Linked DNA regions of Styela clava. Each later gene encodes a partner of the first gene's protein in a complex. Links are inferred from orthologs where the notes say so. Each region holds a gene or a part of one and is shown in the gene's direction. Other genes may lie near its edges. The genes, in order: rab5 GDP/GTP exchange factor-like and ras-related protein Rab-21-like.

The links.
Region 2: the proteins of rab5 GDP/GTP exchange factor-like (region 1) and ras-related protein Rab-21-like are in contact, whole or in part, in a crystal structure (PDB 2OT3), measured with the Homo sapiens proteins. The link is inferred for Styela clava from reciprocal best matches to the Homo sapiens genes RABGEF1 and RAB21. Residues at the interface, in NP_001273991.1 of Homo sapiens: Leu253, Cys254, Lys296, Phe299, Asn300, Lys303, Pro309, Ala310, Ser311, Ala312, Asp313, Phe315, Leu316, Pro317, Ile320, Leu347, Met348, Thr349, Gly350, Glu351, Gly353, Tyr354, Tyr355, Thr357, Asn358, Cys360, Cys361, Ala364, Phe365, Ser373; in NP_055814.1 of Homo sapiens: Ser19, Phe20, Lys21, Gly26, Glu27, Gly28, Lys32, Thr33, Leu37, Thr50, Thr51, Leu52, Gln53, Ala54, Ser55, Phe56, Ala71, Trp73, Asp74, Thr75, Ala76, Gly77, Gln78, Arg80, Phe81, Leu84, Ile87, Tyr88, Asp91.

What each region holds. Positions count from the first base shown.
Region 1 is NC_135257.1:5,262,763-5,273,598, reverse strand, and holds the start of rab5 GDP/GTP exchange factor-like, read left to right. Parts: upstream 1-5,855; 5' UTR 5,856-6,290; coding exon 6,291-6,395; intron 6,396-6,781; coding exon 6,782-6,984; intron 6,985-8,067; coding exon 8,068-8,282; intron 8,283-8,858; coding exon 8,859-9,037; intron 9,038-9,684; coding exon 9,685-9,900; intron 9,901-10,199; coding exon 10,200-10,302; intron 10,303-10,767; coding exon 10,768-10,836. UniProt on the Homo sapiens protein: Rab effector protein acting as linker between gamma-adaptin, RAB4A or RAB5A. Involved in endocytic membrane fusion and membrane trafficking of recycling endosomes. Stimulates nucleotide exchange on RAB5A. Can act as a ubiquitin ligase.
Region 2 is NC_135255.1:9,326,025-9,336,070, reverse strand, and holds the start of ras-related protein Rab-21-like, read left to right. Parts: upstream 1-5,230; 5' UTR 5,231-5,372; coding exon 5,373-5,495; intron 5,496-5,832; coding exon 5,833-5,892; intron 5,893-6,496; coding exon 6,497-6,604; intron 6,605-7,364; coding exon 7,365-7,428; intron 7,429-8,026; coding exon 8,027-8,170; intron 8,171-8,743; coding exon 8,744-8,910; 3' UTR 8,911-10,046. Other genes in the region: uncharacterized protein LOC120331767, read right to left, coding at 1-28. UniProt on the Homo sapiens protein: The small GTPases Rab are key regulators of intracellular membrane trafficking, from the formation of transport vesicles to their fusion with membranes.

The sequences.
Region 1 (10,836 bases):
TTTTTTTTAAATTTTAATATGTATTTTATATTTTTCCACCAAATATATTGTATCAATGAATTGGATGAGAAAATATTCTTTCTTGCATAAATTATGCTTTAACTGAGTTGGATAGACGATTTCCTAAATATTTTCATTAAATTGAGGGGAATTTCTCTACTTTCCGCACGGTGGATTTTTTTTTAATTTTAATATCTATTTTATATTTGTCCACCAAACACATTGCAATAATGAATTGGATGAGAAAAAATTCCTTCTTACCTAAATTACGCTTTAACTGAGTTAAATTGGAGATTTCCTATATTTTTTTCTTAAACTGGGGGGAATTTTTCTACTTTCCGCACGGTGGATTTTTTTTAAATTTTAATATGTATTTTATATTTGTCCACCAAATACACTGTATTAATGAATTGGATGAGAAAATATTATTTCCTGCATAAATGACGCTTTAACTGAGTTATATCGACAATTTCTTAAAAATTTTCCTTTAATTGGGGGGTATTTCCCAACTTTCCGCAAAGTGGAATTGTTTTAAAATTTAATATATGTTTTATATATCTTCATCAAATTCACCGTATTAATGAATTGGATGAGAAAAAATTATTTCTTGCATAAATTACGCTTCAACTCAGTTAAATTTTTTGCATCCATGTAGCCGCAATTAAGTGAATTCGCGACAACTGTCGTGGAACATGGCGGGTTCAAATTTGGAAAAATTGGTAACTGTCCGCTTGAAGTGGCCGCTAGCTTTACCCAAAGCGTATATATAATACAATGACATTAAACAACATGATGCGCAACTCCGGCATTTTTGTCCGAAGATCGTATTCGATAGCACGCTCCAATGCACATACTTGACGAGACGAAAACGAGCGGATGTGCGCTGCTTTCAAGGCGTAGCACGAATGGTGTTCGTGCCTGCTTTGACAGTTGTTGTCGATTTTAATGATATTTTTGAAAGTTGGGGTAAAAAGAAATCGGTAAAAGGTAAGGTGAATACTATTGTTGTATATCACACCCGGGCATCGCACTGTTAAGTACATGTGTGAAAGCCAGCCTTTGTCAAATACTACGAAGTTATTAATTCAGTACGGTACGTAGTTGCCCATTTGCCGAAATTACATATTTACTTACCCCTTATGGTTTCAAATAGTTCATGCACCTCCAGTTAGATTTTTTTAACCAGTGAGGATATATACTCATTGTTGATTGCTGCTCATTGTAACATACTATTACGCATTCACTTTTATTTGCGTATTGAATCAAAGTGTTAACAAGTTCACCTAACATTTCACTCATACCGGTCTATATTGTATAGTCTGATTTCTCAAGTATTTGGAGCCACGAATGCTTGTAATTTTCTGACTAAAGCCTTTTATTAGTTGGTTTATATACCAAATTCAGTAAAATATTTTTTAAATAAAACATGAGATATTGGATTTAGTAGCTTTTCCATTCTGAATCATATAGACTGCTTTATTTATTCTTAACGAAAATTAATAAATCTCCTCTCTTTCTTCAGATGTGAAAGTTGTGGACAAACCTGTCTAAGCATTGTGAGACTCTTGCAGCACAAGAGGCAATAGCAGAAATAGTAAGTATATCAATCAAGAAATTAAGCCGACATAAAGCAAAACTTTCAACTATTCGTCTAATCTCAATTTCCTATTATTTATCCACAGGACAACTATAGCAGACGGGGAGATATCAGAAGTCTGGCGACATATCAGTGACAGTGTGATTCCAAGAAATATAATGCATTTGAAAATAGAAAATTGCAATAGAAAAACAACCTATGGAGGCATGCAAAGACATTTGACCCTCCGGTAGAGTTGTGTATGGCCCCCACATCCTGCAGAGCTTGAGGAAAATAACTAAAAATTCCAAAGCGTAAGATTGCATAAGCGGTCTTATTTGTAAAAAGGCACAAAACACGCCAGACATACTTAAAACAGCTTTGGAAATGAGGATTACGGGTACCTCACTGCACCTGTGTTATATTTGGTTCATCAACTTTTGGTAGTACTATAGAAGAAATTCCGGAAGGGGTATATTCATCATTCATGATAAATTACTATCATATATTTTTTGAACAACTTCAATCTAGACCAGGGATCTCAAACTCGCGGCCCCAGAGAACTTCCAGTGCGGCCCTCGAACGTTTAACCATAATTGTAATAGTATTTTGGAAGTTTTTTTTTTTTTATCTAAATGTAATAGATTTTTCAAACCTTCTAAAGTGAAATTGATTATTCACACAGAAAACAATTTACTGAAAGTAGTTTTGGAATATTGATTTTTTTTGTCCACATTTTGACCCAATTAAGAATACACATCAAGCTAGCAAAAGAATACTTGAATAAAACACTTGAGTAATTAAATTAAACGCAAAGTACATGAAGAAGGTGGCATTTTCGAAGAAAATGGGAGTTGTAACATTTCTGCTCTTCACAAAATTCTGAAGCACATTATTTAATTTGTCATATTTCCATCAATACAATCAAAAAACACAATAAGCTCAGCAGTCAATATGACAAATTCGAAGACCAACTTCGAACAGAAAATTTCCATGTGTTTGTATATTAATATAATTATACAACGACTTAGTTACTAAAAATCAATATCAATAATAATTCAAGCAATCCTATGCCACGCAATGTAGTGCGAAATGTCTTGTCGAAAAAATCTGTCATTTGTTTTTTTACTGATCTATACATGAAATGATAAAAGTAACTTTTTTGCATTACTGGAATTAATTAAACATTCGTAAAGATCCAGATAAACCCATGATCATGTGGCCTCGTTAGTTAGAGTTGGTACTATAAAATCATTTCAGACTGGCCTTAGTATGCTGGTGACACAAAAAAGATGCCAAACGCCAGGACAAATGTAATTATTAAAACATTGAGTTTATACTGTAGTATTTTTGTTAATTTTAGGTTCATATATTTAGATTAAGTTATTTTTAGTGTATGTATTATTCTTTCCTTATTCAAAGCTTGTTCAAAAATGATTTTGATGGTTGTACATAGAATTTTACGATTTTTTATAATAAATACTGTAACTTGCAAATGTTGCAATAATAGTGGAATGCAAATATTAATATGTAATTGCATTTGAAATTGAAGAAAATAATAAAACTTAATCCAACTGTTTAGTTGCATCACAATATATGTCACAAACTAAAACTATCTTAAAAATATCTTTTAAGTATACATTATCAAAAACTGTTTGCGGCTCTTTTTACAATTTTCAAAATGCAATGCGGCTCTCGAAAACCCATGAGTTTGACACCACTGATCTATTCTAGACGATTCAAGCATTGCTTTGGGAAATTATATCACTTCAATTAAATTGAAATAATCTCGCTATATTAAATACAAAATCGTTGCTATCATAAAGGTAAACCAATTCAGCCACTCGAAATATACTGGCCTTCACAAAGCAATGGAGGCAAAATTGAGAGTTCATGAGCTATGAACATTTGTTCTTTTCTTTGTCTTGAACTTTCCATACTCCACAGCCCCTATTAATTTTTTTTAATTTTAATTACCATGTGTTGGTCATACATATCTTTAACTTGTATTTTCTGTCATGATGTATTATCTCAATGTGCCAAACTATTAATTAGTGTGCATATTTTGCTTCCAGATGACATAAATGTATTGTCATGTTTATTACCTCAGCTTGGAGTATTGACAAGAAAAAGGTGCCAGTAAATTAGGTAAAAAAATTTTCAACTCATTGTTATAATCAGAATTCACAATCAATAGGAATTATAAACAGCCAACAATCAGTGAGAATTATATGCGAAATCCCTCAGAATAAATTTGTCTAAAATCGGAGGAAGGCAAAAAATATAGGTAGTTTCCATCCACACAAGCATTTCAAGAAGACTTGCTCGAGCCAAACTAAATGAGCATCGTCAGGTGATCGGTAAGGCTGCAAGTTGAATTCAGCCCTGCAACCTCCTGCATAGAAGATAATATTAATTAGTGGGCTATGAGCTAAATTCCTAAATTTAAACAAACCTATCTACGATGCATTATGTACCAGCAATGTTACCTACGATTAACTGAATATGTAATATATCTAATAAATTCACCTACAAAAGCAAGTTCGATAGGTGCAAACTTTGTGTTATGGAATTGTATCGCAGCACAGTTTTGTATGACACCCTCTTTAAATGAAATTTCAATGATTAAGCGCAAACATTAAAATTACTAACTTTGAACTTTGTCATTATCTGCAAAATGTTCCACACAAATCTTTCCGCTATCGCGTTTGTAATCTTCTCTGATAAAAAAAAAACGTCTATGATGTTCAGAATTGCTCTTTACAGCTTGCCTGTTATTCCAGCTTTCCAAGTAAGCAAAACTTCTTAGATATAGAGATTATTTTGTTTCGTTACAGGCGCAAAAAGGCAGGTACTATACGTAAAAAAGACGCCGAGTAGCAGGAGCGAGCGGAAAACGGACGCGAAAGGCGACGAGAAATATGTGCATTGGAGCGTATCATGAAATACAATGTTTTGCCTGTAGTCTTATGGAGTGACGTCAGAGTTGCCTATCATGTTGTTTAATGTCATTGATATAATATAAGCGAGGCAACGCTCAGACAATGGACGCCATCTTGTGCCTATTGTTCTCGGCAATTTAACACGGCGCCTTTTGGGAAGTTTCAACACAATCATTGAAACATACCTATTATTTTCACTAATATTTTGCGTAGAAAAATTTTGAAGGTCGCGTTTTGAAGTAGAATCTTAGCCGTACATGCTTATATCCTTTCATGTTGGCCAAATTACATTTATAGTACATTAAATTGTCTTTGAAGACAAGTATACCGGTTCCGAGTTGCTTCCGAAGTAAATTGGCCATTCTTATCGTCATAATTAACCATTTGACAATGGCGTTCCTTATGACGTCACAGATGAAAAGTTGTATTTTTTCTTCGAAATTACCGGCCGACCCAACTTTGCTTCAATGGCCGTTTCTATTTTCTGGTTGACATTTTTCGGTCGTCAATCTCTCATAATGCCCTACTGCTCAGCTCAAAGCTGCGCTAGAAGAACAAATGACATTGTAGGATTGTTGCGGAGACATTTTACAGCCTCAAATTAGCGTATCACTATGAAATCTTTGGAAATATGACCAAAAATGGTTCTACGCTGTGTTTGGGGTCAAATTTAGCGCATTGGTTAGTTTTTTTTCCTAAATTGCGTTATATATTAAGATAGCATATATCTTAAAGTTCAAAATCCACCCTTCAGTTTCATTCTAGCACTTGTACCAGCGGACTTATTCGATTCGGTACAACAACACGACGAAAATTTTCCATAAGACTCCATTGTTTCGCGTTTCCCAAATATGGCACAAGATGGCGTCCATGAACTTGCTTAACATTAGGCAAGTTGGTTGCCGGCCGTTGGCTTTACCTAGGTTACCGTTCCACGGTAGATATACTGGTTCAGACAAGTTCTGAAGTTAGTTGGAAATTTGACCACGTACCTCATATTTACAGTGCGGTCGATAGGTACCCTATTTAGGGGATTTTTTAGTTGATTGTTGTTCGGGTAGGGTAGTCGGGGTAAGTTTTAGGTTGGCGAACAAGGTTCATACTGCAGTACTGTCATACGGTAGGTACCGGTACCTAACCTACGGCAGAGTGGTCCAAACCCAGGCGTCATTATCTGTGGCCCGCGTCGCCTTTGCTGAAGGGTAGCCTAATCGAAAAATCGCATTTAGTGTTGTTTCGAGGGAAATTTTGCTTTGAGAACCTCGTTGTTCGAGCACTTACATTTGCGGGAGCACTTTCTCTGTTACTGCTTTATGAAGAGTTTGAAATCTTACATTAAATGTAAATATAGCTAAACTTTTGCATGTTTCAGTGATTTTTCTGGCGTATTTTGTATGATTTAGCTTGATAAATGAAAAACAAGGATCAATCGTTTGCACAATAAAAGCATTTGTTGTTTACATATTTTTACTGCTATTGTGTCCCGCGAACAATGCAAAAATATTTTTGTGGTCCGGGAAGGCGACAACCTTGGACCACCCTGACCTACTGTATGACTGCGCCGTCATGATATTACATTATTCAGGTAATAACGTACCGGTAGGTGCGGTACCTACTGTACAGTACGGTACCTATCTTTTAAAGTTTGCTGTAGAAATAGGATAATATTGTAATACTTTCACTGTATCACGCAAATTGGCAATATCCTGCTATCATTCAAATGTTCTCAGCATTGTAGTTCAGATTTCAGGAGTTTTTTACTGAATTAAGTAATGACTTCAATAAAATCACTTGGCAGTAGAAAAGGAATACATCTTGACCAAGCAGAATTGCTTTGTAGAAATGGATGTGGATTCTATGGAAATTATGCATGGAAGGTATAACCTAACTAAATATTGCAATATTGATTGCTTCACTGTACTGCTGTAGGCCTTTTAGTTATTATAAATTGCCAGAGTCAGAAGATTGAATTTTTCTGTTTCTCAATCTTTTAATTACAAATGACAGTAGCGGGTTTTGCCCACCATAGGATAATCTTGAATAAAAATGTAATATTGTCTTAATAGTATTGGCCGCATGTTCACTAAACGCCATAAGTACTACTAGATGGCGTGGTACAAACATTTTTGCATATAGTATTCCTAACCCCCACCTAACTACGTCATCGAAAAATTGCGTCACTACGACATCACAATCACAACATAGAGCTTGCCAAATAAAAGCCATGATTGCCCGAAATGGCATATTCTCTTTTCATTTGCAGGGATATTGTTCCAAGTGTTGGAGGGAACATTATCAATCACAAAAACAGTTACAAATTGATCAAGATCATGAATTAGCAAAAAAACTTCAAGAGCAGGAAAATAAAGCTGTGACTTCCCCCATTGCTAACAGTCCTGCTCAGATATCACACACACCTACCACCCCACCAACTTCTACTGCACAGAGTGAAAGCACTTTTGCTAGGTGGGTTAGCCAGCCGCAACTATTTATATGTGATATTCATTGACTGTGATTATTCAATTTATTATTTCTTTTTAGCTTTTTTTTGCATAGCATGCTCATGCCTCAAATTTTCAGAATTCTTGTTTTTGATGTAAATATGTTTCAATTCAATGGATTGATCTCTGCTGTTTGAAATCTCATCCAATTCATTATTCATGATAATGCTGATTGATACTTTATTAATTGATATATTATAATTAGCAGTTTCATAAATTAGTTAAAAACTGAGGGGAAATTAAATCTTACCAAATTGAAATTTGAGGCATAGAGGTTATAGATGGTTATTTGGCAGTTACTCGATACATACTTTTTGTTACTACATGTAATGCTGCTTATTTCATATTATAGCAAGAAAGTTGTTTGGTAGAAATTGGAAACTGACTTATGGTACATACATCAGTGTCGCCCATAACCATTTATATATATTATAATAACAATAACATCAAGAAATTGATATGGTATAGCTTATAAAAAGCATTAAATATCATTAAATTGTATTTTATGTTTTTGAATTTTTATTTGTTTTCATTTAATAACTGAGTTTATAACCCTGTAAAAACTAAATTACCCTCTTCCATTTCTGTTATATTCATTGGCATTATAAAATGTGCCCGTCAATTTTGCGTTTTAAATTAAATATTGATTATTTAATGATGATCAATATTGAATTGACAGTCACATGACTATTCAGGAATTTGCTACCTTGATCTGATTTAACATTAGGTATTACTTCTATTATTCATCCTGTATGTATAACCTCATTCTACTGCTTTAGTATTATCTTCATGGACCGAAATATAAAAACTGGATAGCTTCAATAACCATATAGTTGATAAATTGAGTTATATTACCACTGTCATTGTTCCAAGAAAAGGCTCTTTTGATGTGGTCTATGTTCCACAAAATCGCATTACATACATAAAGCATATTCACATTTCTGCAGCATGAATTGTTAATTTCTTACATCTTGGATTTTTGGTGCATATACAGTTATTGTTATGAAGTTGTTTTCTAAAAATTCCAAAAGCATTCAATGTAATTTAGCAGCACCTTCTCCAAATTTGAGGATAAGAAAAATCGTACAAGACAGAGCTTGAAAAAACTTTTCACCCCGAGTCCGAATCATGAAGATAACAGTCCAACAAATGCAGTGTCTCCTAGAAATAATTCGGCACAAAAACAATCCCCGTCTCGTGCCGCAACATTTCTAACACCAATCTCACGGAAATCACCTGATAGCAGTCGAAAAATTTTGCTGAGTAAGTTATTTCAAATGGTGACCGTACATTTGAACCCATGTACATTTGAACCCATGCGTATATCCACGGGTTCAATCTATATGCGGGTGCTAAAACCCATGGGTTTAACTATCCGTGAAACAAAAAAAATTCCATAGGTGCAATAGCATACAGGTGCAATTGTCATGGGTTCAAATGTACGTGGGTTCAAATGTAATGGAACCATTTCAAATTTCCCATTTTTACATTTAATAACTAAGCGTTCGTTATCAATGTGTGTTCATTAAGCAGTTCCAATTGAGCATATTATTTAATCAGACTATAATAGATTAATTATTTTAAGGGGCTTTTTGGTACTCACAAATAGGCATACTTATGCAGTCATTCGACAAGAGTTGTTTCGTATTTGCATTGGACATTGCATGCAAAGATGCATATGCCCGAAGGGTTGACTCCAAACTCAAGTCCAGATAGTGGGAAGACTATAGATGTATATAGACCAGCTGTGCATATATATTGATGACTTTTTGAGCTTGTTATTCGTTCAATTCCAATGTGATTATTTTATACTTTACTGATTGTGAGAGATTTATTTAGGGCAAGATAGAACAAGTATGGGATGGCTGTCTTCTGCAACTCATGAAAGACAACAGAGCTATGAAAGTAAGCAAGCATCACACGATTTTATGGAATTTATAAAAGCATTCAATGAACCAGCTGCCAAAGATGTCATGAAACAATGTAGATCATTCATGGAAAAACTCGTAGTAAACAGAGTAAGTTTGATTCTATTTTTATCAGCCAATGCTTCCAGCTCATGCTTCCATTCTTTTGGTTTGATTTTGAACAGAATTTCGATTTGTTCATATATCTGAAGTTCATCCTTTGAATATGAAATAATTTGATGTATTTATTTGTGCATCATGTATGCGGTGAATGGGAAAGGGTAATTTTTAACAATATAATATATATTGCAAATCATTTTTCAATTCGCTTGATTCACTACGGATGTTCGATATCTTTCCATACGTTGTACTCACGAACATATCCCACTGTTTGACAAAATTTTTTTTAAAGCCATACATATTAGGAATTTACGTTCTGATTTTTCTTTTTCAAGTGATCACATGTTTGTTTGTGTTAAATGATTTGGAGGTATGTTTATCCTTCCTCTCATCGGCACCAGTAGTGCTGACTGCTATTTAGCCTACTTTGTATTGGCATTTGGCACATCATTCCAAATAACAATTTGTAATTACCATTGTGTGTTATTGAAATTGTCAAAGTTTAACATCAACTTGTAATTTTGATCCACAATTTATTTGCCATTGTAATAACTAGTATAACAATATTGACGGTCTGAATTTGTCAGTGTGAATTTCCATTCAAAATGTTGATCAAATATATTCAATTGTTGTTCCAGGAAATGTCGGTTGAAGAGCAGTCAGAACTTGTACAGGATTTTTATCAGTCGATGGCAGATAGGCTTACGACTCATCCTGTGTTTAGTAGTTATTCATCGGAAAAAGACCAGGAGGGAATTATGGATAATGTGGAAAAATTTTTAATGACAAGATTGTACAGAAGTATATTTTGTAGCGATCACACAGACGATGAAAGTCAAGATTTGGCAGTACAGGTGCATGGCATACTTCAACTTTTTCTTTGTTTGTTTCAGGTGACTGTTACTATAGTTATACAATAGTTATACAACTGTTATCAGATTTGCGTGTGCTGGCAAGCCTTGCATAGTAGATAGTATAGGATTTTCATATTTATTTCGGGGAGTAAAATGACAATAAGACTGCCTAATCATATGGTTTACTACGGCCTATCATCTGGACTACTTGAATACTGCGATATTCTTGATGATTAGGAGAAAACATTACTATCAATAAGAAGTTATGAGAAGTCATATATAATTATTTTGTTTTGTAGAAAAAGATTCGAAGTTTGCATTGGATTACAACAGAAATGTTAGATGCTCAACTGAATGAGGAAAGGGTAGATGCTGCTGCTGCTATTGATAAAGCTATAACTGGTATTTTTTCGATAAATAAATATATGTTTCATGTTTTTTAGGAATGCTTTGTAAAATTCTGTTGTAATTTATGATAATTAAGTCCTTTTAATTAAAAGTTAACAATAACACTAATACTGTTGAATAGGTTCCCTTGAATACCTTCATCTTATTATAAGCCACCTTTTACTCAGACAGAACCTAACTTTTCATCATTTTTCATGCAGTTAACACTGTTTGTATAATTCAAACTATATTTATCCTGGGAGGAAGTTACTTGATTCACCCTACAATGGCGAGGAATCCCGCAATTCTCTTTGTACATAGTTATCTCCCATGGGATTCATACCAGCCAGGGTAATCAGAGGTGCGATGGCAAGCATGTTCTCAACGCCTAGCACAATTGGCCAATCGCTTCAACAATTTTCAATGGCCTATAGAATAAACATACTAATGTAATGACACAAATATGTATTCGTTTTGTAGCTATCATTGAAATGGATTCAAAAAGAGCACCTCAAGACAAACTGTCGTGCATAACAAGATGTAGTAAAC
Region 2 (10,046 bases), on another chromosome or scaffold:
CATATCTTAATTTTACAGAAGCCGACATGCCGGCCAGAGTAAACTACGGGCATTCGAGTGTATTATACTTCTAGTATCACATTGTCAAGGTTACAGCAAATTAATTGCAATTATGATGTCAGAATGTAACGAATTTGGCCTCTGCAGCAGAGCTGCCACGTCAGATGTTTTATAGCTAGATCTGCTAGATGTTTTGTTCAAGATCAGGATGTACAATTTGGAGTCTAGATGTTAGCTATAAAATATGATACTTTTTTTCAACGTTCCAAATAATATCTGGTGGGAAATAAAAATGCGATGTATATAATTGTTAAACGAATAGTACTGTATTTAGAATTAGATGTAAGATTGATGAAACTTGAATCATATGCCTGATTTAGATGTTTTTTAAGGTCAATCTAGTTATTCTAGATGGTTTTATTCAGACAAAAGTGGCAGCCCTGCCCTGCAGTCTGCAGAGTAATTTAGCATTTATGATAGGCAGATCCACCCAAGGAAATTCTTTGCAAATTCAAACTTTGTACAGCATAATCAATACGACCAGTCGACCATACAATTTTATTTCGATCTTCCGTCTATAGCAAAGAACAAAAAAAAATCACACACAATAGCGACGAAAATATCGGGAAAATAAGCCACACAGGTGAAAACATATATCACCACAATCTTACTGAAGAGAATAAAATGAATTATGTGACGGTGCATGTTGCGAAATGCGAATTACAATAATAACAACTACAAAACTAAGGGATAATCGAATTCATAGTGTTTTTCATTGATGTTGGCGACTTCCTTGTTGAGGCTTATCACCTAATCGACTCAGATATCAAAGGAGACTATTCAAGGAAAAATTTAGGTCTAAAGTCAAAACATTCCGAAAACGTGCGATTGGTGGTCAGTCACATGCTCACGACGTCATCTTTCACAATATTTCCGGCTGAGTGATCTGTCAGTTCATAAATCTATCTTGCTGCTTCGGGCTGAATGTTCGTACCGTACTGTCATAGAGTTACTGAGTTATGATATCCCTATATTTATAATACGTTTTAAATTAGTAAAGAATGCAATGTCACTATAATTACGGTATGTAGTAAAAAACATATCCACAATGTTAGGTTAACTAGTTCTGTAATTAGCGACGTGGTGCCATTATAATTCAGTAATTGCTGAATTGTGTACCGGTAGTGCGACACATAAAATTTTAGCTACTAAACCTGAAAACTGCAAAAAGATGCCCTAATTTTTAAAGTATGTGAATGCAGAAATGTTAATGAACAGATGAAGTTGAATCCATACATAAGACTGTAAGAGATTGTATAGCAAGACCAAATACTGAAATATGAAGGAAATTAGGTTAGCTCATACGTGTATTGGGAAATTGGGTCTAGTATAGTTTAGTACCACAAGTACTTCCAGTGGGCGTAGCATAACGATTTTCGCATATGTTATTCCTAACCCTCACCTGAATATGCCATTCAAAAATTACGTCACTATGACGTCACCATCACTTCATAGGGATTGCCAAAGTATAATTAAAATCGCCCGAAATGACATCTGCGCCGTCGATAAGAACTTGCTAAAGCCGGCGATCTCTCTCCTATCGAGATCGTTGCGACGAGAAAACGAGAGAAATAGCTTGCTCGATTTCGGGTTTTCGTCTGCGCGTTTTGGACGACCATCCGCATACTTCGGTGGGCCTTATTACGCCACTGTGACGTCGGAATGACGTAATTTTTCGGTGACGTTGTCAGGTGGGGGTTAGGATTGACATATGCAAAAATTGTTGAGCCAGGCCAACTAGAAGTGGATGTGGTACTAAACTATACCAGACCCGGGAAATTTTACTCCATGACCACTAAGCAGCAGTAGACTACTGTCTGACTGGACTATACATTTAGAGGGATAATTACATTGTTTTAATTTAATTTATGCCCTCTCTGTTCTTGACTTGATACAGCAGTAGAGATACTGATGGCAGTATGATCACATTATACCTGTATACCAGTATACTGTTATAACTGGTGATAATAATGCATATCAATTCCCGCAACATTCTGACATTTATGAATTTCATTTTACTATGTTATGACATTTAGTCTGCATGTTTTTCTTACTTGTTTATCAGTCTGTTGGATATTCCATGTTGTGAAATACAATTTTTACTGCTGTGTTGTTTTGTGTGAGCTGGTTCCTAGTTTAGGAAATGCTCCTTAGTTTCCTTTGTTAATAGGGCTGTTCACCATAATTTCATGTAAATGATCTAATCACTGAATTAATATAGGTAAGATTTCGACTCTGTAAACCCATGTTAACAGTATCAATGTAAAAGACCTAAAGTTATAGTAATTTACATCTTGATACAAATTTTATTTGTACAGTACAGTATTATTCCTCCAATGTTTAATGAAGTTCATTATTTGACATCTCAATTCCATGCAACACTCTATGCTAAAGGTTTAGATCAGTGGTCCCCAAACTGGGGTCCGCGGACCTTTTGGGGTCCTTGAAGCACTTTCGGAGGGTCCGCAAAAGAAATCTGTTATATGGCTCATAGCTCAATAATACAAAAATTAGGTGCTTAAATTTGCAAATACACATTTGTCGCCTTTTGCTGCATCGCAATCACTGCTGGAGACAGTGATTTCTCACTTTCGGTATTGACCACGCTGCCCCATTGTTGTTATGTAAGCTGTAAGCCTGTGATAGCTGTCTTTACAAGTTAACTAACTGCAGAGGTGTAGCTGATGCTGCCTTTTGCATGTTTGTTGGTATAGGAGGGAGTTTCAGTAGGCAGTTTAGTTATGTCAGTTTGCTTTTAAATGCTGTTTTACAATAAAACAAGTGCACCCATCCCATTAAACTTCTCCATATACTTTTGTTCGTTTCAGCGTTTTCCATTATACGACGTATTGATTTTTGTTTTAGTGCACAAGGCTGTGAATCATTAAAAAAATTGCAAGGGCCCGCCATGGAATATTTTTAAAAAAGTTTGGGAACCACTGGTTTAGATCATTTGGGTTCTATTCTAGCTTGAAAATGTATTAATTCCAGTTAAGAATGACTAATAGATTCCATGCTTTGGACATGTACTAATATGATTCATTAAATAGTCTTGTTTGCTTTTCATATCATGTACAAACCATGAATGGGACCTGTTAAAATTTTGTGTAGAAAACATCTGTCAATCTCACCTTGTAATTTATAATAACAAAAGCCATATTTATCTCAATACAAGCGAATTATATCATACAATCTTTGAGGAAGTAAATATAAATATCACCTGATCAAATTCTAAGTTATTTTTCCTTGATGTTATTGTTAATGTTGTGTGTATATAGTAGTTACAAGTAGTACAATATAATATACAATCATCTTTACGACTGTAATTATTGTAATGGATATTACAATATTGATATGGATATAATTATTGTGTTATATATTTCCCAATATTCTATAGATATATTCTAATTAATATTTATGTATATAAGAAGCTAATATTTAGTTATTATGGTGTTTCGATTAGGAAAGCTTGTTGCTGTTGTAACTGGTGGGAGTACTGGCCTTGGTCTTGCCACTGCTCAACGAATTGTTAAGCAAGGTGGAAAAGTAACCATTATTGACCGCTCGGAATCTAGAGGTATTGAAGCTGTGGAACAATTGGGAAAAGATAATTGTGCATTCTGTCCTTGTGATGTCACAAACACAGAAGATTTATCAGAAGCAGTTGATTTAACATTAGCAAGATTTGATGCTGTGCATGTACTTGTAAATTGTGTTGGGACGTCAACATCCCGTGCAGTATATAATATTGGCCGCGATTTACCCCATCCATTAGATTTGTTCCAAGAAATATTGGATACTAATATTATGGGCACTTTTAATGCCATTCGCTGCTTTGTACCAGAGATGGCAAAAAATGAACCTGACGAAGACGGCCAGCGAGGTGTGATTATTAATACCTCTAGTACCTTTGCATTCTGTGGTCAAAGAAGCCACATTTCTCATTCAACTAGTAAAGCAGCTGTTGCTGCTATGACTTTGCCTCTTGCGAGAGAATTAGGCAAGCAAGGAATCAGAACTGTCGCCATTGCTCCTGGATATTTCAGTACTCCAAATATTATGACAATTCCTGAGAATATTCAGAAGTTGATTTCACATCAAAATCTATACCCAAGTAGATTAGGTAATCCTGATGAATATGCTATGTTAGCACAGTCTATCATTGAGAACACATTTATCAATGGCACTATTATAAAATTAGATGGTGCCTTGAGATCTCTATATTCGTAATAGCCTAGCTCAGCAGTTCCCAAACTTTTTGTTCGCGCGCACCATTTTTATCAGAGAAAAAAACTCACGGTGCACTTACACGAAAAAAAAATGCTGCCTCCAAACAAAACTCAATTTTGTGATCGTTAATGCGTACTTTATGCCTTTCAAAGTTTGTAAACATGTGGGTCTATGCAATATCATTTGAAATGCTAAAAAAATCACTCATGTTCGCTAAACTCGATTCAGCAGTTAAAAGGAATGTAGATCACGAAATTCCAGCAAATAGTGGTTACCTATATTGTTACGTAACGGCAGACAATAAGTAACACAAAGTAAACGACATAGAAAGGTGAAATGAATTTATTGATTCATATGCACAGCATTTGGAAGAAGAAACAATTGAACATTTAAAATAAATACAATATAATATTCAATCATATTTCAGTTATGTTCATCACAATTCTGTTAGTTTTCGCGGCGCACCTTTTGGGAACCGCTGGCCTAGCTGTTGAAGCGCAGCAGTGTTAGCATAGAAAATTTGTGTTCAAATCCCGATATTCCGGTTCTTAAATAGTAAGTCCTCACATATAGTTAGATATCAATGGCTGCTTGTACAAGCCTTGTTCAAATCAACATGCATGAATAAATGTCATATAAAAAAAATTTTACACACTCGATGCATCCATTCAAAGTGAATATATTATGTGTGGTAATTGATGATTCACATACTATATGATTTTGAAATTCAAAATCCATGAACGTTCGTGTCGTCTGTTCATTCTGCGATTAAAAAAACAGGAAATTTTCATATTTCAATATCTTGAACTCAATCAACCAAATCTATTTCACTTTATACTGTTTGAATGTGGCATAATTTTCAATTGTGTGTTCTTGAATTCCTTTGATACTGCCAATCAATCTTTTTTATTTCCACTGCTATTTTTCTTTAGATTTAATATATTTCATAAATAGATAATAGCCTGGTTTGACTTCTTCTATTTGTTGTATATGCAAATTTTTGTCATTGTTTCAAAATAAGAAATCTGATATTTGCTTTTTGCAAGTGCGCTCCACCCATAGGGTAAAATAAGGAGCCAAAAATGGGCTCGAGGACGACAAATTTTAAAGTTGTCCTGCTTGGTGAAGGATGTGTTGGAAAAACATCTCTAGTCTTACGATACTGTGAAGATAAATTTAATGACAAACATATTACCACCCTACAGGTATACTTTTCTGATCATAATCCTAACATTATGAAGTTGGTTAGGGTATATATAATTTTATTTAGGATTATAGAGTCTCCGAAAGATTTTTCATTCAAGTTTTTTATGACTAATAGAGCTGTAAGGAACGGCACTCCACATAGCAGAAACCTTTAGGAAAATAACTTTTACCATAAATTACTTCTTTAAAACATGATTTTGATTTCATTAAAAGCATGTATGCTATATATTTATTTAATCCTATTTGCTGTTGTAGCAATCAGCAAATTTGTGCAAAAGAAATATGTAACATTTTGCTAATGTATTAAAAACTTAATAATAAATTGTTTCTTTTTAGGCATCTTTCTTGAATAAGAAATTAAATGTTGGTGGAAAACGTGTCAATCTCTCAATATGGGTAAATATCATGGAGTACTTTATAAGAAAAACTTGATTTGACTGAAAATTAATAACAAAGAAATGCAGATATGCTAAAAACAGTTGCATATTTTTATTGTGGTATTTAATACGATGAAATTTTATAAGATACCTAATTTGTTTCAATAGCTGTGTATTCAACTGAAACCAATCTGTAATCTGTTGAACTAACTAAACTGTGTTACCAAAATATTGTTCCTATATTTTACGTTTGCTATTCAAATTCTTGGGTTAGGGTAGAATTACCATTTTTTGCTAGCCACGGCCTTTCATCTGGTTACGTACTTACCAGTCAAGGTTGCGAAGAGTTAACCAGTTGTTCGTTTCACATGCATGGACTTGATGATGTAAGGCCGATTACTTGAACCACCCAATGACAGTGTGGATTCCACAATATTTTCATACATAATTATAACCCACAAGATATCTGAACAAGCGGAACTCGTTTATATTCCACAGCAAGTGTGTTCATTATACTTCGCATAGCAACACAACTGTTGAGCCGGTTATTACGCAACAGTTAAATTTTGCTTCAATACACTTACTTCATGCCTGAGTGACTTTTATGATTGTTCTCTCAACAGGATACTGCAGGACAAGAAAGGTTCCATGCACTCGGTCCAATATACTACAGAGACAGTAATGGTGCAATATTAGTTTATGATATCACAGATGAAGACTCTTTTCAGAAGGTATAACATTCCAATGTATTGATAAACGCTTTTGTGCAGTGGTTCCCGACCTTTTACGGCTCGTGGCTCCCTTTCGGAGGATTTCATCACTCATGGCTCCCTGTTTATCATTCCAGTGGTCTTAATAGTGCTAATTTGATTGGTAGATTCCAAATCCCATTATATTCAAACAATTCATGCTCAACAACTTGAAAACACCTCATCCAGAAATGAAACTAAGAAGAACGGGGAGTTTTCTTGTCAAGATAAATGTAAAATCTGTTTTGCGCGTAGCATTATGGCCTCCCTTCAACTGCTCTGTGGCCTCCTCAGGGAGCCAAGGGTCCGCGGTTGAGAACCGCTGACTTAGTTTACTACTATATGTTCACAACAGGCTTGTACCCTTTGAGTAAAAAAGTTGAATTTGAATTATTGTGAGCTTACATAAATAATTCTAAAATAATTGGTAGTTTGTGATCATTTCAAAGAATGATCAAGCGTAATTGTTACATATTTGTGATTGTCAACTGTTTGGCATAATTACCTATCGATGATAATAGTTTAAAAGGCCTCGGGATCGATTCCTTCCACTTCACCAAGAGTGCTCTCTTTTAAGTTAATGATTGCTGATATAGAACTTCTTTCAGAGTAAAGTGTGTAAAACATATTAGTTAAAACTTGCCCAAGTATCTCGCGAATATATTTCGATTGACTAGGATCATTGTCAATGTACTTATTAAAGTGACAAATAATCAGAATTTTGTTTGTTTTTGAAATCAAGGTTAAAAACTGGGTGAAAGAACTCAGAAAAATGTTGGGAGAAGACATTAGTTTAGTAATCGCAGGTATGAACTGTTTTGTTTGATTTAAGATTTCTATTTTGTCTAGATAGCCTTGCATAGTTCTTGTTTCGTATACCAAGATAATAGTAGTAGCCTATAGTTTTTGCCACTGTTTCCGCATATTATCTAAAATAATATTTTTTAAAATGGAGTAGGATATTCTATATATTACTCTAAATCGTGTCATGCCAACAGAGAATTTATAAAAGGCAATGAATATGATATCCAATGAGTTTGAATTTCCCTCTCAAGTCTCCCTCTAAAAACATGGAAAATCTTTATGTGTTAGTGGCTAATGAGTCTAGCTCATCATGGAGGTGTGCAAATACCCCATAAAAATGTTTTACTCAGTTATATCGAAGCTGTTTGTCAAGATTATTCCTGTCTGACTTTCAATGTCTGTAATTAGCAGTTTATACCACATTCTATCAACAAAAGCACTTTGCTTTCTGTATGATGATATTATATTATATAGTCATCCTCAGAAGATAAGGACCAATAAGAATGCCTATTATATGTCAAACCATCAGTATAAATTATATATACTATAAAGAAACATTCAGAATAGTTAACAATTTTACAATAATCCTTCATTTAATAGGAAATAAAATTGATTTGGAAAAAGATCGCCACGTAACAGTATCGGATGCAGAAGCATACGCGGCATCTGTTGGAGCAAAACATATACATACTAGTGCAAAACAGAATAAAGGAATTGAAGAACTATTTCTAACTTTAACTAAACGTAAGTTTTTGGTTCATAATGGACGCAAATATTGTGTGTCTTGTTACGATTTAGAAATAGCTCGAAAGTTTGTGGTAAATTGTATGCTAAACTGCTGCCTCTTCAATAGTTAGCCTACTTGTCATGTTCGAGATGAGAATACAGCGTTCTGAATGCATCTCAACAAAGATGGATTAGCGTGCCTTACTTTTATTGCCAGAATAGTTTCATGAAGTTACATGAGATGGGGAGCCGACGGGCCGAGAAATCTTAGTGGCTCCAGCTCCTAACCATCGAACTATTTTTTATGTTTATAATTTTTCAATACTTCGTAAAAAATATTTAATCCATCCTTTTTCAACTTAATTACTAGTAATAATTTTTAAGTTTATTCTTAAAATTTGATTCACTTGTATCATATCGTTATACATTTGGACTGATGTTTCATGGTGGAGGGCAGACCAAAGTACAAATTAAGTTTGATTATACTGTTTCTTCAGAACAACTCCCCAGCTCTGGTTACAATTATCTTTTAAATCACAAGTGACATATTACATTGCAGATTTGGTAAAGCCTAAGTCAATTTAATTGCAGGTATGTTGGAGACACAACAGACAACAAACACCGGTTCACAAATGGCTGGGAGTTCGGCATCAACCCGAAATGCGAGTCGGAGGGGTGTTGTCGTTGTAAGTGATGAAGAGGCCGCAGCTCAACAACCAAAATCAGGAGGATGTTGCGGAGGAAGCGGAGATTCATAAATTTTGAACGACTGTTGATCAATGACTGTCAACATCTATACAGATACCTGCATGGACTTGATAGATATTACTGTGACATCTTGCATGCAAAATATCTACATTGATCTGATCCAAGTATCATGAGACATAACACTCAATCCTCATTACATGCACTTTTCAGCAGTTCTTGTTAATTTCCTGTTATCCACAAATCAATACTACTAATCAGAGCTGAGAAAGCTCCATACTCTGAGCCAACATCCAGCTGATGGCAATTTTGACTCAGTTTACAGTTCCGAACAATGAAAACACCAAATTTTGTTTGAAACCTTTTCATATGCAAGCATTCTATCATTATCTATCTAGAATTCTCAAATCAACTTTGATTATTGAATATTTTCACTTCGCTCATAACCATTAGAAGTTTGACTAAAATTTTGAGTTTCCATCTCCACAGTTATTTTTCTTTTTGCTCCAAAATCCTGAAGGGACTCATATTTATATGGCATGAATAAATCATGCTGTCTTATTAGATATTTGAAGTTTTGGTATGATTGGGAATCGAAGTTGTGACTAATTCCCTATCTATTTATTATGAAAAGTTGTTAATTTTAAGTGTATATAAACATCAGTGATTTTCCTTAATTCAAAACGCATCTGATTTGAATTCCTGCCTATGTTTTAGGTTGAAAATATCCCAAATGGGAGGTTTTTCTGAAAATTTATTTTTGCGATTGACTTTGAATTATGTAAATGGATGTATAATTGAAAAATCATACATAATATATTCATAAATATACTTCATGAAATGGGCAGCAAAAATGATCAGATTTTACAGAAAGAGTAATTAATTTTGATCACCAAAGTCTTTTGATAAAACGCCCTTTTTCGTTAAAATTAATTGTTCAGACATCACATCGAAACACTTAGGTAACTGCGAAATTACCAATTTGCTAAATGAATATATTGTTTTAATTAGGATTGTTGTTAAACAGTAATTACCTGGTTATGAATAACTCCTGTGCTGTTTCATCGCAATACCTTGATATATATATTTTTCTCCAGTTTCAAACTATTAATATAGATTCTGATTTCTACATAGCTTACAAATAAATATTTAAATGTCCTTTTTAATTGTGAGAGTCTTGCAACAAGCA